Arabidopsis thaliana: one gene and its partners. The protein of the gene in region 3 purifies or fractionates together with the protein of the main gene of each other region. This does not show direct contact. Each region holds a gene or a part of one and is shown on either strand. Other genes may lie near its edges.

Region 1 (5,333 bases), on a different chromosome or scaffold from region 3:
ACATAAGAATTCATTTTGAAGTTTGTTTGGTGTGTGACCGAAGAACCAAAAAAAAAAAAAACAGTTGCTCATTCTTTGTCTACTTATCTCACTATTCGGCAATGCATATACGTCCTAATCTTTGTTTTGCTTATCTTAGTTATTCTATCTCTCTCCCTTACCTAAAAAGCTGGCTTCAAAGGACTTGACGGATCGTTTATAAAACAGACTAGTCATAAACATAGATTTATATTCGAGATGGCTTCAAATACGAATCTTAAACTGTTTATAGTATATATAGTATCTAATAGCTGCGGGTGTTGTGAAAGGGAACTTAGTGTTGACCATGGTCATGGAGTTTAACCAAGAAGTTTGTTGAACCAAGGATTCACACAATAGATTTGTTTAGAGAGGGAAAACAAATCTAGTAATTTCTCTTCATTAGGTATTCTATCCAAGACTCGATTACAAGAGGGGTTCTAATCTCTTATGAAATACATTAGGGTTTTGCTCAAGAACAGAAAAAGAATTAGAGTTTTAAAAAGGTATAGCTGCATCCATGATGGATTGCCTACGTACCCTGTGAAGGGATCAAGCCATTCGTAGTTTTCAATAGGTATAAAGTTCTATGTTTCTTGTGAATATCCCAAGATCTCCCCCTTTTTGTGAAGTCCCTAAGGCACTTTATATAGGATCCTTAAACCGCCTCCCTAGCGATATTCTTCGGAAGATTCTTATTTATCCTTAGGTCGGTTCTAGAGGATAATCGTCCTAAGGATATTCTCCTTATTCTTCGGAGGTTTTGGGGAGATTTCCTGATTTCGACATTATCTTCAAAGATTCTCCTTTATCATTTCTGAAAGTCCCATAAAAGATCCCATTTTACCGGAAATGATCCTTGGAGAATGAATGGTTTTTACAAGTCTTTGCCTCGCGTGTTCTTCACGGCTCGGTGGTCGTTTGAGAGGTGGCTTCGGGGCAAACGGTATGTACCGGCTCGGGGCGCGCTTGATGACTGTCCATTAAGCTCAGTTGGCTGTCTCCCGAGCCGATATAGATGTTTCCCGCAGCGTTCTCACGATTGGTTCGGGCTGTGTTCATATGATTAACACCCGAGCCATTTTACAAACTCTCTTCGGGACGGTCGATCGAATAAGGTCCCGAGGTGCTTTGTTCTAGGCTAGGGGCCAATCATATGTTTAACCATGAGGTGATTGTTATTCTTAGACTGTTTGGCTCGGTCTTGCTTGTGGGGGAATCCGACCCCAACAAAGTTGTACCTTGACGGAAGAGAGCACGAATGGGATCGGTGCGGGTGTCTGGAAAGTGCCTGAAGAAGGTTCATGTGATGATCAAACTCTGGAATGCTACTGGGAGTACTGACTGTACCAAAACCTCCTCCAACAGTGCCACAGGGAACAAGCAAGCCCCATATCAATGTGTGATGAAGTTGAAGGAGCAGGGTCGTAAGGTGGACTTCCACAGTTAGAAGGAGGCTTGTGTGATGGAGGAGCTCCATATCCTTCGTCATAGTACTGATTTCCGGATCTGAATAAAGAAGCATGGCATCATTTGGAAGTAAGAGATCACATGAGAATACCATCCCTAGAACCGAGAGAGAAAAGTTTATGTTAATAAATTTTTATTGTATAATTGATATTGAAAAACATTAATAAACATTAATAAACAGTGTTCACATAAGGTGTAAATTCACCCCAAAAGCACTCTAAAAAGTAAAAACCAAAAGAGAAAAAAACATAGAAATGGTTACTTAATAATATACCGAGTTTCATCTATTTACTTAATAATATACGGTTATTTGATTTACCGGTTAACTAAAAAATATCTGGTTTAATCGTATTTATTGTTGGCAAACACAACATTGGGCGCGAAGTGGTTTTTGATGCCCTTCAACAACATTTGGGGGTTTCATTTCAATCGCATTTCTAGGGTTTCTTTCTCTACGATTCAATAGATTCGGACGAATTGGGGGATTCTGACCAGAGAGAAGCTATGGAGGAAAACGAAGAGGAAGAAGAATTGCGGCCAACGGCGCTATACACGGTCGGTGGTTCAGACGAATTTACCTTTGTTTCTCCCGATGGGCTCTCCGGTCAATACACGGGCCCTGATCACGACGGCGTAGTTCTTCAGACTGAAAATCCGGCGCCGACTAACTGTCTTGCTTACTACTTCGAGGTTCATATCATGAATGCTGGTGAAAAAGGAGAGATCGCGATTGGTTTCTCCAAGGAACACATCTATAGCGAAGGGTATCGTTTTCTTTCCCTTTCAATTCGCATTTACCACTTATTGCGTGATTTGATACTCAATACAATCATTGATTCTGTTTGATTTGGTACCTGAGACTGAGAGAACAAATTGGGAAATAGGTTTAGATACAATGGTAGATCAGTAGTTCAAATCACTGTTTCAATGGTTTGGATTCGTTACTTGGAAATAGGTTATGTGATTTGCTGCTCAATTTGATTGTGTTGGCTGTTAGATCTGGTATCTTACAAGTTAATGGGAGATTTGCTTTGTTAGATGTTTTCACCTTTCAGTAATTAAGCATTCCAATTCACTGTTTCATGTTTCTCTGTAATGTTAGATATACTGTCAGAAGCTGTGCCTACATTGGTAACAGTGGACTCATATGCTCTCAAAATGGAGATGGTGATCGAACTGTTGCTAAAGCCAGTGACACCTATACAACAGGTGATTTAGTTGGTTGCGGTATAGACTCGGTTTCACAAGAATTCTTTTTCACGTAAGTAATAACTGTTTCCCTATCTGAACATGTTTCATTACAATTGGAAAAGTAGATATCAAGATACACAATTCATTTCTTCATGTCACAATGTTTTTGACATGTCCCTGCGTATGTTTTACTTGCTGACATCTATGACTACTTCTTTGATTATAGGAAAAATGGAACTATCGTAGGGACAATCCCCAGGCAATTTAGGCGTCCTGTATACCCGACAATTGTTTTGCATAGCCAAAACGAAGCTGTCACTGTCAATTTCGGCGGACAGATTGCGTTTTCTTTTGACTTTGAGGTAAGGTCGTACTTTTCTTTTCTTGCATAGTCGGAGAATAACTATTGAGTAAGCAGAATAATATGCATCTCTCACATATGTCCATATTTGCATGTATGTGGCATATTTTTCTGATACAATATTCTATTATCTGATCCACCTTTATTTCAGCATTTTGAAGAATCATTGAGGGTTAAAAAAGAAAGGGAAATTGAAAAGATTTCCATGTCTCGCAGCATTAGTCATGGGTAAAGTGTCTTTTCCTGCCTGTTCTTAATTGTAATTCTTGTTTCTGTTTGTGCTAAAGCTTCCTTTTTCCAGGCTTGTAAAAACCTACCTTCTTCGTTATGGATATGAAGATAGCTTTAGAGCTTTTAACCTGGCTGCAAGTCGTCATACTGTTATTGCACAAGAAAATAGTTTTGATGAGTATGAATTGCATCAAAGGAAAAAGCTCAGAGAGGTACTTTTCACTGCTATGGTTATCTTGCTGTAATTTTTTTTTTATTTTTTTTCTGTGAGGTACAAAATCAACCAAAAGCAAGCTACATTGCTACATCTTTTCTGTTTCATATCGAACTGATCCATGCATTCTGTTTGTTAAAGCTTATAATGACTGCTGAGATTGATGATGCTATTGCTGCACTCAAGGATAGATATCCCCAACTTATTGAGGTGGGCTGAGTAACTAGTTAATATATCGAGTGATTCACATTGTTAACATTCCTTGAACTATTTTAACAAGCTGCTTGTATCATATGCAGGGTGGATCAGAAGCTTATTTTCTTCTTATCTGTCAAAAGATTGTCGAATTAGTACGGGTATGTTCTTTATTCCTTGTATATTTGTTACACATATCCATGGTGTGTTTCTCTAACTAACTACAATGCAGAAAGGAGCAATAGCAGAGGCTAAGTCATTTGGAAATCAAGATTTTAAAGACTTTAGGGATTCAAGCCTACTAAAAAACCTTTTCGATGTATGTAGTGATTCTCTAACTGTTAGATTAGGTTTCTCATATTTGAGTCACTAATAGTTTTGTTTTTCTCTATTTCAGGATTGCTCTGCTTTGTTCGAGTGTGAAACTATAGAAGAATCAGGTGCTGCATATCTTCTAGGAGAAACACAGAAGAACATAGTAGCAGCTGCAGTCAGTGAAGCGATTCTATCTACAAATCCGGCCACCAGAGACCAGCAATCTGCTTCACTTGAGCGAGTGCTTAGACAGTTTGAAGCCACCTGCTCACTCTATGCTCGTGAATAAAATCTTGACTTTTTCTGTTTTTCTTTTTATCTTTTCTCTTGATAGAGTCATTGTGTAAGCTCAAATGTTCTAAAACTAGCGATCATACTTTAACTTGATTCACAACTATATACGAGATTATATTGGAGCTTGAAAATTTTTATTTACAAGTATTTATCTACAAATCGGCAAATATTGAGCTGCTCATACTAATTTTGATAATTTAATCGGCTACAAATTTTAATGACATGTTGTTGTTAGCTGTAAGTTAAAATATGAAATCGAAAGTCTTTTGTTTATTGCTTTCAACTTAAGCCTTTGTGATTACAAGCTATGTCTATTTATACATCTAGATTGATTTAACCTAGTGTCTTCTTGATTTGCATAGCTGTCACTTGGCTGTTATGTGGCGTCGTTGTCTTCACATGATTCAAGAGCCTCATAGCGATTCCTCGTCGTTACTTCCGTACTGCGTGGAGATAAGGACCGCTCTGCAACTTTTCTGCTTTTGTCCTTTGTTGTTGCAGGTTGTCGTTGCACTATGTTGGGCTTGGCTCTTGGATTGGGCACTTGTTTCGGATTGGGCTTTAATGGTTTTGAGCCCAATTCCAAAACTGTGTCGTTTGGAGCTGTTCTGTTGATACTCCCCCTCAAACTTGGAGGAGGTGGGAAATCGACACCAAGTTTGAATCGGAGAGATTCGAAAGGAGCCTTGGCGAGAGACTTTGTAAATATGTCAGCGAGCTGTAGATAACCCGGGATATGATGGACGATGAGCTCACCAAAAGCTACCTGCTCTCGGACATAATGATAGTGAGTTGCAAAATGCTTTGTCCGAGCATGAAACGATGGATTCGCTGTAAGGTAAACGGCAGAGAGGTTGTCGCAGAAGAGTTCGGGGAGCTGTAACTGCGGAACACCCAGATCACGAAGTAAATTGACTAGCCATGTGATTTCCGAGGCTGTATCGGACATAGAGCGATATTCAGCTTCGGTTGAGCTTTTGGCGACTGAGACTTGCTTTCGAGAAGACCAGGAGATTAGATTGTTGACAAGAAATGTACAGAAGC
Region 2 (5,822 bases), on a different chromosome or scaffold from region 3:
ACCGGACCTCCAATTCTCTGTTAATTACGTGTGCCAAAAGATGCACGCCCCTACAATGTCGGATTTTCTTCTCCTCAAAAGGATTCTCCTATACATCAGAGGAACAACAACCATGGGAATTTCATTCAACAAGGACACAGATTGTCAACTCCGAGCTTACAGTGTCAGTGATCACGCCGGTTGTCATGGTACACGTCGCTCCACCGGTGGCTTCTGTACATTTCTTGCCAACAATTTAATCTCCTGGTCTTCTCGAAAGCAAGTCTCAGTCGCCAAAAGCTCAACCGAAGCTGAATATCGCTCTATGTCCGATACAGCCTCGAAAATCACATGGCTAGTCAATTTACTTCGTGATTTGGGTGTTCCGCAGTTATAGCTCCCCGAACTCTTCTGCGACAACCTCTCTGCCGTTTACCTTACAGCGAATCCATCGTTTCATGCTCGGACAAAGCATTTTGCAACTCACTATCATTATGTCCGAGAGCAGGTAGCTTTTGGTGAGCTCATCGTCCATCATATCCCGGGTTATCTACAGCTCGCTGACATATTTACAAAGTCTCTCGCCAAGGCTCCTTTCGAATCTCTCCGATTCAAACTTGGTGTCGATTTCCCACCTCCTCCAAGTTTGAGGGGGAGTATCAACAGAACAGCTCCAAACGACACAGTTTTGGAATTGGGCTCAAAACCATTAAAGCCCAATCCGAAACAAGTGCCCAATCCAAGAGCCAAGCCCAACATAGTGCAACGACAACCTGCAACAACAAAGGACAAAAGCAGAAAAGTTGCAGAGCGGTCCTTATCTCCACGCAGTACGGAAGTAACGACGAGGAATCGCTATGAGGCTCTTGAATCATGTGAAGACAACGACGCCACATAACAGCCAAGTGACAGCTATGCAAATCAAGAAGACACTAGGTTAAATCAATCTAGATGTATAAATAGACATAGCTTGTAATCACAAAGGCTTAAGTTGAAAGCAATAAACAAAAGACTTTCGATTTCATATTTTAACTTACAGCTAACAACAACATGTCATTAAAATTTGTAGCCGATTAAATTATCAAAATTAGTATGAGCAGCTCAATATTTGCCGATTTGTAGATAAATACTTGTAAATAAAAATTTTCAAGCTCCAATATAATCTCGTATATAGTTGTGAATCAAGTTAAAGTATGATCGCTAGTTTTAGAACATTTGAGCTTACACAATGACTCTATCAAGAGAAAAGATAAAAAGAAAAACAGAAAAAGTCAAGATTTTATTCACGAGCATAGAGTGAGCAGGTGGCTTCAAACTGTCTAAGCACTCGCTCAAGTGAAGCAGATTGCTGGTCTCTGGTGGCCGGATTTGTAGATAGAATCGCTTCACTGACTGCAGCTGCTACTATGTTCTTCTGTGTTTCTCCTAGAAGATATGCAGCACCTGATTCTTCTATAGTTTCACACTCGAACAAAGCAGAGCAATCCTGAAATAGAGAAAAACAAAACTATTAGTGACTCAAATATGAGAAACCTAATCTAACAGTTAGAGAATCACTACATACATCGAAAAGGTTTTTTAGTAGGCTTGAATCCCTAAAGTCTTTAAAATCTTGATTTCCAAATGACTTAGCCTCTGCTATTGCTCCTTTCTGCATTGTAGTTAGTTAGAGAAACACACCATGGATATGTGTAACAAATATACAAGGAATAAAGAACATACCCGTACTAATTCGACAATCTTTTGACAGATAAGAAGAAAATAAGCTTCTGATCCACCCTGCATATGATACAAGCAGCTTGTTAAAATAGTTCAAGGAATGTTAACAATGTGAATCACTCGATATATTAACTAGTTACTCAGCCCACCTCAATAAGTTGGGGATATCTATCCTTGAGTGCAGCAATAGCATCATCAATCTCAGCAGTCATTATAAGCTTTAACAAACAGAATGCATGGATCAGTTCGATATGAAACAGAAAAGATGTAGCAATGTAGCTTGCTTTTGGTTGATTTTGTACCTCACAGAAAAAAAATAAAAAAAAAATTACAGCAAGATAACCATAGCAGTGAAAAGTACCTCTCTGAGCTTTTTCCTTTGATGCAATTCATACTCATCAAAACTATTTTCTTGTGCAATAACAGTATGACGACTTGCAGCCAGGTTAAAAGCTCTAAAGCTATCTTCATATCCATAACGAAGAAGGTAGGTTTTTACAAGCCTGGAAAAAGGAAGCTTTAGCACAAACAGAAACAAGAATTACAATTAAGAACAGGCAGGAAAAGACACTTTACCCATGACTAATGCTGCGAGACATGGAAATCTTTTCAATTTCCCTTTCTTTTTTAACCCTCAATGATTCTTCAAAATGCTGAAATAAAGGTGGATCAGATAATAGAATATTGTATCAGAAAAATATGCCACATACATGCAAATATGGACATATGTGAGAGATGCATATTATTCTGCTTACTCAATAGTTATTCTCCGACTATGCAAGAAAAGAAAAGTACGACCTTACCTCAAAGTCAAAAGAAAACGCAATCTGTCCGCCGAAATTGACAGTGACAGCTTCGTTTTGGCTATGCAAAACAATTGTCGGGTATACAGGACGCCTAAATTGCCTGGGGATTGTCCCTACGATAGTTCCATTTTTCCTATAATCAAAGAAGTAGTCATAGATGTCAGCAAGTAAAACATACGCAGGGACATGTCAAAAACATTGTGACATGAAGAAATGAATTGTGTATCTTGATATCTACTTTTCCAATTGTAATGAAACATGTTCAGATAGGGAAACAGTTATTACTTACGTGAAAAAGAATTCTTGTGAAACCGAGTCTATACCGCAACCAACTAAATCACCTGTTGTATAGGTGTCACTGGCTTTAGCAACAGTTCGATCACCATCTCCATTTTGAGAGCATATGAGTCCACTGTTACCAATGTAGGCACAGCTTCTGACAGTATATCTAACATTACAGAGAAACATGAAACAGTGAATTGGAATGCTTAATTACTGAAAGGTGAAAACATCTAACAAAGCAAATCTCCCATTAACTTGTAAGATACCAGATCTAACAGCCAACACAATCAAATTGAGCAGCAAATCACATAACCTATTTCCAAGTAACGAATCCAAACCATTGAAACAGTGATTTGAACTACTGATCTACCATTGTATCTAAACCTATTTCCCAATTTGTTCTCTCAGTCTCAGGTACCAAATCAAACAGAATCAATGATTGTATTGAGTATCAAATCACGCAATAAGTGGTAAATGCGAATTGAAAGGGAAAGAAAACGATACCCTTCGCTATAGATGTGTTCCTTGGAGAAACCAATCGCGATCTCTCCTTTTTCACCAGCATTCATGATATGAACCTCGAAGTAGTAAGCAAGACAGTTAGTCGGCGCCGGATTTTCAGTCTGAAGAACTACGCCGTCGTGATCAGGGCCCGTGTATTGACCGGAGAGCCCATCGGGAGAAACAAAGGTAAATTCGTCTGAACCACCGACCGTGTATAGCGCCGTTGGCCGCAATTCTTCTTCCTCTTCGTTTTCCTCCATAGCTTCTCTCTGGTCAGAATCCCCCAATTCGTCCGAATCTATTGAATCGTAGAGAAAGAAACCCTAGAAATGCGATTGAAATGAAACCCCCAAATGTTGTTGAAGGGCATCAAAAACCACTTCGCGCCCAATGTTGTGTTTGCCAACAATAAATACGATTAAACCAGATATTTTTTAGTTAACCGGTAAATCAAATAACCGTATATTATTAAGTAAATAGATGAAACTCGGTATATTATTAAGTAACCATTTCTATGTTTTTTTCTCTTTTGGTTTTTACTTTTTAGAGTGCTTTTGGGGTGAATTTACACCTTATGTGAACACTGTTTATTAATGTTTTTCAATATCAATTATACAATAAAAATTTATTAACATAAACTTTTCTCTCTCGGTTCTAGGGATGGTATTCTCATGTGATCTCTTACTTCCAAATGATGCCATGCTTCTTTATTCAGATCCGGAAATCAGTACTATGACGAAGGATATGGAGCTCCTCCATCACACAAGCCTCCTTCTAACTGTGGAAGTCCACCTTACGACCCTGCTCCTTCAACTTCATCACACATTGATATGGGGCTTGCTTGTTCCCTGTGGCACTGTTGGAGGAGGTTTTGGTACAGTCAGTACTCCCAGTAGCATTCCAGAGTTTGATCATCACATGAACCTTCTTCAGGCACTTTCCAGACACCCGCACCGATCCCATTCGTGCTCTCTTCCGTCAAGGTACAACTTCGTTGGGGTCGGATTCCCCCACAAGCAAGACCGAGCCAAACAGTCTAAGAATAACAATCACCTCATGGTTAAACATATGATTGGCCCCTAGCCTAGAACAAAGCACCTCGGGACCTTATTCGATCGACCGTCCCGAAGAGAGTTTGTAAAATGGCTCGGGTGTTAATCATATGAACACAGCCCGAGCCAATCGTGAGAACGCTGCGGGACACATCTATATCGGCTCGGGAGACAGCCAACTGAGCTTAATGGACAGTCATCAAGCGCGCCCCGAGCCGGTACATACCGTTTGCCCCGAAGCCACCTCTCAAACGACCACCGAGCCGTGAAGAACACGCGAGGCAAAGACTTGTAAAAACCATTCATTCTCCAAGGATCATTTCCGGTAAAATGGGATCTTTTATGGGACTTTCAGAAATGATAAAGGAGAATCTTTGAAGATAATGTCGAAATCAGGAAATCTCCCCAAAACCTCCGAAGAATAAGGAGAATATCCTTAGGACGATTATCCTCTAGAACCGACCTAAGGATAAATAAGAATCTTCCGAAGAATATCGCTAGGGAGGCGGTTTAAGGATCCTATATAAAGTGCCTTAGGGACTTCACAAAAAGGGGGAGATCTTGGGATATTCACAAGAAACATAGAACTTTATACCTATTGAGAACTACGAATGGCTTGATCCCTTCACAGGGTACGTAGGCAATCCATCATGGATGCAGCTATACCTTTTTAAAACTTTAATTCTTTTTCTGTTCTTGAGCAAAACCCTAATGTATTTCATAAGAGATTAGAACCCCTCTTGTAATCGAGTCTTGGATAGAATACCTAATGAAGAGAAATTACTAGATTTGTTTTCCCTCTCTAAACAAATCTATTGTGTGAATCCTTGGTTCAACAAACTTCTTGGTTAAACTCCATGACCATGGTCAACACTAAGTTCCCTTTCACAACACCCGCAGCTATTAGATACTATATATACTATAAACAGTTTAAGATTCGTATTTGAAGCCATCTCGAATATAAATCTATGTTTATGACTAGTCTGTTTTATAAACGATCCGTCAAGTCCTTTGAAGCCAGCTTTTTAGGTAAGGGAGAGAGATAGAATAACTAAGATAAGCAAAACAAAGATTAGGACGTATATGCATTGCCGAATAGTGAGATAAGTAGACAAAGAATGAGCAACTGTTTTTTTTTTTTTGGTTCTTCGGTCACACACCAAACAAACTTCAAAATGAATTCTTATGTAGCTTTATAGGAACCATACCATGGTGGAGAATAAAAGCCTAACCAGTAAACCAACATTTGAAAACAAAAACCCTCTCTTGTTATTAGTACTACCTAGGGGTCCAATATTGTCATGAATAAGAAAATCCCTAAATCATAAGAGCAAGGCTAAAAACTCCCCCCTCACTCAAAATACTCACTAGGAAGAAATGGTCATCATGTTCTTGCGACAGATCAGTTATATATCACTATATATGTTCCCTTTTGCAGAGCCGTTAGTTGTTGAAAGGGAAGAAGAATCATTCTGGTCGG
Region 3 (5,558 bases):
CAAGATTGAACCTCAACAGAAAATTCTACGAAACTCTAACCAAGACAGAACTTGTTACCTGTGCTGAATCAGAGTTATTTGGAGTTGAACCAAACAATGAAAGCTCCTCATTTCCAATTGTATCTTGGAAAGTATCAGAAGTCATCCTCAAACGTTTTGCTTGATGACCCTCACCTTCAATGTCTTCATCCTGCATAAATTTAGGAAATTTTCAAGTTCTGGATTAACAATTTTAAAAAGAAGTTACTCTGACCAGCCTAAGAAAGATTAAACTATCACCTCATCTCTCAAGCCAGGTAATGATGCTGCAGGCCCAGATCTACAGGAAAATTGCACCAGTAAACTGTCTCCCAACCGGCTACCTAAAAAGAAAAGGGAATTTCCAACACTAGTAATGTCCTGCAAGAAATTTGGTATATCATCATAGGGAATCTCTAATCGAACAGGATCCAAATTGAAGTACAAATATGCTGAAAGAACATATTGACTAACCGAAGCAAGCACAGAGGCTTTTGATTTGGAAAGATCAAGTCTCTGTACAGCACTTCAAAAAAGAAAGTAGCAGTCAGTTTCACATATTTTAAACAAAATAAGTTGCAGCCAGCTTTACAAGCGTCAGAAGATTTTTTTTTAAAGAAGATCAAAATACTACCGCCCATCATATATAAGAGTCAGCAGCAACAATTCCCCAGATTTTGTCGACAATAGGGCCACATCGTTCGATATCCAGGTTCCATGGGCAGCATCAAGCTCCACACTGAAATTTGATGCAGGCAGTTCTTGACTGAAAGAAATCAGACGCACACAGAGATAGAAATGTGGTTAACAGTATAAACAGAGTTTTACAAATGTTGAAAGTTGATTCTAAGCTTTAGGATTCTAAACTAAGACTGAGGTAACAAGATTATATCCATAAGCATGAAGCAGGTTTTGAAGAGTGGGGAGGTGCGAGAAAACTGTACCTGCTATCAGCTGAGGAGGCATAATTGTTCAGTGCCAGAGCACAGGAGGCTGACTACAAATATATATGGTATCCAGATGTGTGAGTAACTGTAGAACTTTGAGGTGGAGTGGCTGGAATTGTTGAATTTTAAACAAGAAACAACCAAAAGCTAAGTAATATAAAACTACCTGACTATGATAATGGATTGTATTTGCACACAACACAAGAACACCTCCGATCGGAGATGGTACTGCAAGTAGTTTGTAGGCATCATGGGGCAGATTCTGGAAAATACCAAAAGAATGGGAATAAGTATGATCAGGGACTAACGTTTGCCGAAGTAACTATTTCAGTCATGAAATAGCTTGTTATTTTAGGAAATTTTTCCTAAAGAAAGATCAACTCTTTGAGCATTCTAAACAAAAAATAGAGCATCGTCATAGCTGATTGGAAAGTCTAGTCATGTAACAACAGTGGATATTCAATAACCTTTTAGATGACTTCAATTTCTACCCTTAGCTTACAATATAGTTAATAGTGCAACTCAAATATTTAATTTCTTGGGAAGAGATCTATTATAAGATACAAAGAGGAAAATACGAACATACAATAGCTGACCAGATGACTGGGTGTTGTTTTAATGTCGAATTGATACTAAGGGCAGAAAGCACGCAAGTATGGTGCTTCCATGAAACTCGCCCAGCCCAAGTATGCTCTTCTTCCTGAAGGATGACAATTACAGGCTCAATATAACCTGAAGAAGACACAGGATGCAAAAACACATAATCAAAAGAAGCACCACTTAGTTTATTCTTTATGCCTACTGGGAAAACTAGAATATCTAAAATTTCAGACAGCTAGTTATTGAAAAATCAAAGAAACAATACATTTCCTCTTGTTTCAAACTGTAATCATGACCAGAATACATCAGTTGTCGTATTGAATCTACAAACAACAACTTAGTAAGCTAGATCCATTCAAGGACACAAGATTCGATGCAAGTTGAGCAGCTAAGAAACAATCATCATAATATATTTATGATTAACTACTGATTCAGAGATAAGTTTATGAAGAAACCTTGCTTGCTAAACCTACCATGTAGAAAAACAAAATCTTTGACGTGTTTCATTTCCAGATCACGCAAGTTAATTATGTAAGATGATTCAACTCGAGCAGAAACTGTCCCTCCAGAACTGAACGCATCATCATCTCCAACTAGTCCAGAACCAACCTAAAACCCAAAATAAAGTTCATAAAAGAAAAGAATGAAGGTTGGAAATTTGTAGCAGATAAAGCGACAGTTAAGATGAAGTTGATTAATAATGCCAAAACAAAAACCTGGGAAGTCTTGAGTATGATCATCTGCAAACCATAAACAAGAACGCCGCCACATCTGCCTTGAGGATCCACTTTTACCAAAGGGCCTCTTGGAAAAGACTCTCTTCCTCTTTTCAGATGAAGCCAATCTGGACCCTCAAAACAATGCATCGAACTGAAAAGGAACCACATATCCATTATTATTTGTTGAAGTCATGTATAGGAGTCAATGGTACATAAATTAGATAACTAGAAGAAACAATCAGACATAGACAATAGAACGCTTCAGTATATGATCCAATACTACGTAACTTGCATCGCTAGAAACAATAACAATGCGTAAGTAAAGACCAAAACTTTGAGAAGTATAAAACAGTTAAAACAATAGTTGGACACAGAACATCTCGTATATAGGTCAAAAGAAACAATTGAGAGGAGACAGAGCTGAAACTAAAGCTGAATTCATTTATTTATTTACCAAAACCAACAAAAGCAAAACACTCTTACGTCATCCTAAGGCTGTGAATTGAATCATCAAACTCAAGAACTGAAATTTTGGCGTCGCGAAATGTCAATATAATCGAATCTCTTCCCTTAGAAGAATTACCACCTCCCATAGGAAGAACCGCAATTGACTCAACATTACCGTGCAACCTACAATCCAATACCAATCACATCGTCACTTCAAAGTCAAAGTACCAAAATTGGAGTAATTTAGGAGGTAATTGTCAACAAACACGTACCTATAATGGCACACGAGCTCGAGAGAAACACCATAGACACCATCCATAACTCCACCACGCTTAGCAAGCTTCGGATTCCTCAGCTCCTGAGTATTCCCTTCCTCTTGAGCCCTAACGATGTACACCTCAAGGATATTTGCGGCGGTTATAACGACGTTGGGCAAAGGACCAATACCTCGTTTAGGATTAGGCCACTCAGCTTCAATATCATCATGAACGGAAACAATCGGAATCTGTAGCGTTGAATCGGAGAGAGAGTGGGTGATATAGCCGGAAGCACAGTTCTCGACGCCGGTAGGCCAATGCATCATCTTATAGGCCGCGAAACTCATCTTCTCTACCGGAATCTGGGATTCAGAGATTCTAATTCTAAAAATTGAAATTGAACTAAGAAGATTGGGAAGTGAGTGTGAGAGCAATTTAGGGTCTCGATTTTGTGAACATTAAAAGATCAAATCCTTAAACCCACGGGTTTTAATTTTAGGTTGGTTTTTTTTTTTAAGGGGAAACAGTATATACTCTTTATTACGAGTTTGGTCTTTACGAATTTCTTTTCCTTTAGTTTTTTTTGGGGATTATTTGTTTGCAAAAAGAACATGAAATATTTTGCGAAATCCGTTATATGTATCAAACTTGTATTGTCCAAAAAGTAATACATTTTTAAAAAAATAAATGTAATGTTCTGTTTTTAAAAGCATTAAATCAATGATGATGTGGATGCATAAGAATTGAGAAGAGAAGAGAGGAACTTGTTATGAACTTTCTGATTGGGACACATATACACATCTTTGGTCAAATGATGTTTTTCCAATGATCTTTATTTTGTTTATAATTTTCTATATCGTTTGTCAACAAATAATGCCCAAAAAAAGAGGTATTTCTTATCACTATCTATGACACACCAAAGCCAAAGGGAAGATAGTCCAATCTTTATTTAATACCCAATATATACCATGAAACCAAATTTCTTCTAGAAATATACTACAACATAAAAGTAGTGGATTTTGCACCATGATTTTGTTTTTGCAACATAAAAGTATTAGAAAGTGTTATCAATCATTTTGAGTTTCATTACTGCATTAAAACTTTATATATCGAAATATATCATTTTGTAAAATATTTTTGTTTTCCTTTTTAGTTCTAAAAAAGATCCTTAGTATCAAATTTCCCCAAAAATCTTTATACTTCTAATAAAAAAATCTCAGCAAAAATATGTAAGAGATAAACGTATTTATTATTTATGTTTTAGATTGTGTTTTTGTAATTAGTATTTTAACCCCTTAAACAACTTAGAGACGATAAAAAAAAATATAATTTTCACTTAGAAAGAGGATGACAGTAATTGTTTTGGAGAACAAGGGGATGCCTTATAAGGTTTATGAAAACAAATGCTAATAATTAATTGATTTAAAGATACGTTCATATAATATTTCTTATTAATTGTTGAAAAATCTTGAAAAGGAAAATAACCAACTTTGGGCTTCCTCTACTTCTCACCTCTTGTCCTCATAAAATAAGAAACCTCCTGCAAGTCTCTGTGAAACGATTTTGAGTGTTCCTCCCCCATACAAGACGACAACAATGATAGCTTTAAGTTTAACCACCTATAACTACTCTTTTTACATACTTCTTCTTCTGCTTCATCCTCTTTTTCTCCAAATTTTTATCTTATTTCTCATTACCAGAAGAAAAAATGTCAAGGAAGAAAATTTTTACACTGTGCTTGTTAAAACTATTCACAAAGAGATACTCTCTTAGGCTCCAAAGCCTCGATTCCTTTTCGAGGATTTTTGGCATCCTTTAGTGGCCAAAGGAGTTCAACGTGTGGTTCAGGAGAGGAAAGAGGGACTTGAAGCTCAAGGGAAAGAAGAGGGAGTTGAAAAGGTTCTTGTGGAGAAGGAGAAAGAAGAGGCTCATGTCTCATGGGAAAAGGATGGATCTGTGTCTGTTGCATACACATATGCCATTCATCACTTTAACCTTGAACGTGACCTTATCAACTACTCCAAGTGGACTGTTTCTGCACCTGGTAACGAAAATGACTACTTTGATACAAAAATCCTTGAAGAAGAAGTTGGCATTATCTGGGATCTCAAGGAGAAGAAGAAGGACAAGAAGAAAGAGGAGGAGGAGGATGACGTGGAGAATGACATAAGGAAGCTTATTTCTCTGTGAATCAAGTTTGGAAGTAAAATCAAACTAACTACTGCAGATTTAAGGAAACTGGCAAACGACAAGCAGCAACTTAAGAAACTTCTGAGAGAGTTTGAGAAAAAGAACGATGAGTTTATTGAAAAGTTGATGAAGGAGAAGAAGCTTGAAAAGAACAAGCGCAAGAAGGGGAAGAAAGGGAAAACGTTTATTGTTAATCGAGAGTGAGGATTTTGATTTATTTTCAAGTTAAGTTTGATATAATAAAAATCTAATAGTCTAACCAAATGTAGTTCGGTTTAGTTTAACTAATAATCTAGTTCAATTAAAAAAGTTGGACATACACGATTAAACTAATTATGAAATATAACCGTAATAATTATAATATCATGCAAAATGACCAA

The links. The genes of interacting proteins can lie anywhere in the genome.
Region 1: the proteins of CPSF160 (region 3) and AT4G09250 fractionate together in Arabidopsis thaliana (co-fractionation; one large-scale study listed by BioGRID). This does not show direct contact.
Region 2: the proteins of CPSF160 (region 3) and AT4G09310 fractionate together in Arabidopsis thaliana (co-fractionation; one large-scale study listed by BioGRID). This does not show direct contact.

The regions. Positions count from the first base shown.
Region 1 is NC_003075.7:5,874,695-5,880,027, forward strand, and holds AT4G09250 (SPla/RYanodine receptor (SPRY) domain-containing protein), read left to right. Parts: upstream 1-1,883; 5' UTR 1,884-1,992; coding exon 1,993-2,252; intron 2,253-2,590; coding exon 2,591-2,749; intron 2,750-2,905; coding exon 2,906-3,041; intron 3,042-3,191; coding exon 3,192-3,268; intron 3,269-3,341; coding exon 3,342-3,483; intron 3,484-3,626; coding exon 3,627-3,695; intron 3,696-4,077; coding exon 4,078-4,284; downstream 4,285-5,333.
Region 2 is NC_003075.7:5,900,677-5,906,498, reverse strand, and holds AT4G09310 (SPla/RYanodine receptor (SPRY) domain-containing protein), read right to left. Parts: upstream 3,687-5,822; 5' UTR 3,551-3,686; coding exon 3,291-3,550; intron 2,953-3,290; coding exon 2,794-2,952; intron 2,638-2,793; coding exon 2,502-2,637; intron 2,352-2,501; coding exon 2,275-2,351; intron 2,202-2,274; coding exon 2,060-2,201; intron 1,917-2,059; coding exon 1,848-1,916; intron 1,759-1,847; coding exon 1,702-1,758; intron 1,631-1,701; coding exon 1,544-1,630; intron 1,466-1,543; coding exon 1,259-1,465; 3' UTR 1,050-1,258; downstream 1-1,049. Other genes in the region: AT4G09300 (LisH and RanBPM domains containing protein), read right to left, coding at 5,810-5,822.
Region 3 is NC_003076.8:20,978,027-20,983,584, reverse strand, and holds the start of CPSF160 (cleavage and polyadenylation specificity factor 160), read right to left. Parts: upstream 3,581-5,558; 5' UTR 3,336-3,580; coding exon 3,004-3,335; intron 2,915-3,003; coding exon 2,768-2,914; intron 2,436-2,767; coding exon 2,282-2,435; intron 2,175-2,281; coding exon 2,039-2,174; intron 1,698-2,038; coding exon 1,552-1,697; intron 1,228-1,551; coding exon 1,132-1,227; intron 1,016-1,131; coding exon 963-1,015; intron 785-962; coding exon 653-784; intron 545-652; coding exon 493-544; intron 400-492; coding exon 280-399; intron 191-279; coding exon 59-190; intron 1-58. Other genes in the region: AT5G51650 (uncharacterized protein), read left to right, coding at 4,336-4,377, 4,762-5,142, 5,185-5,382. UniProt on the Arabidopsis thaliana protein: CPSF plays a key role in pre-mRNA 3'-end formation, recognizing the AAUAAA signal sequence and interacting with poly(A)polymerase and other factors to bring about cleavage and poly(A) addition.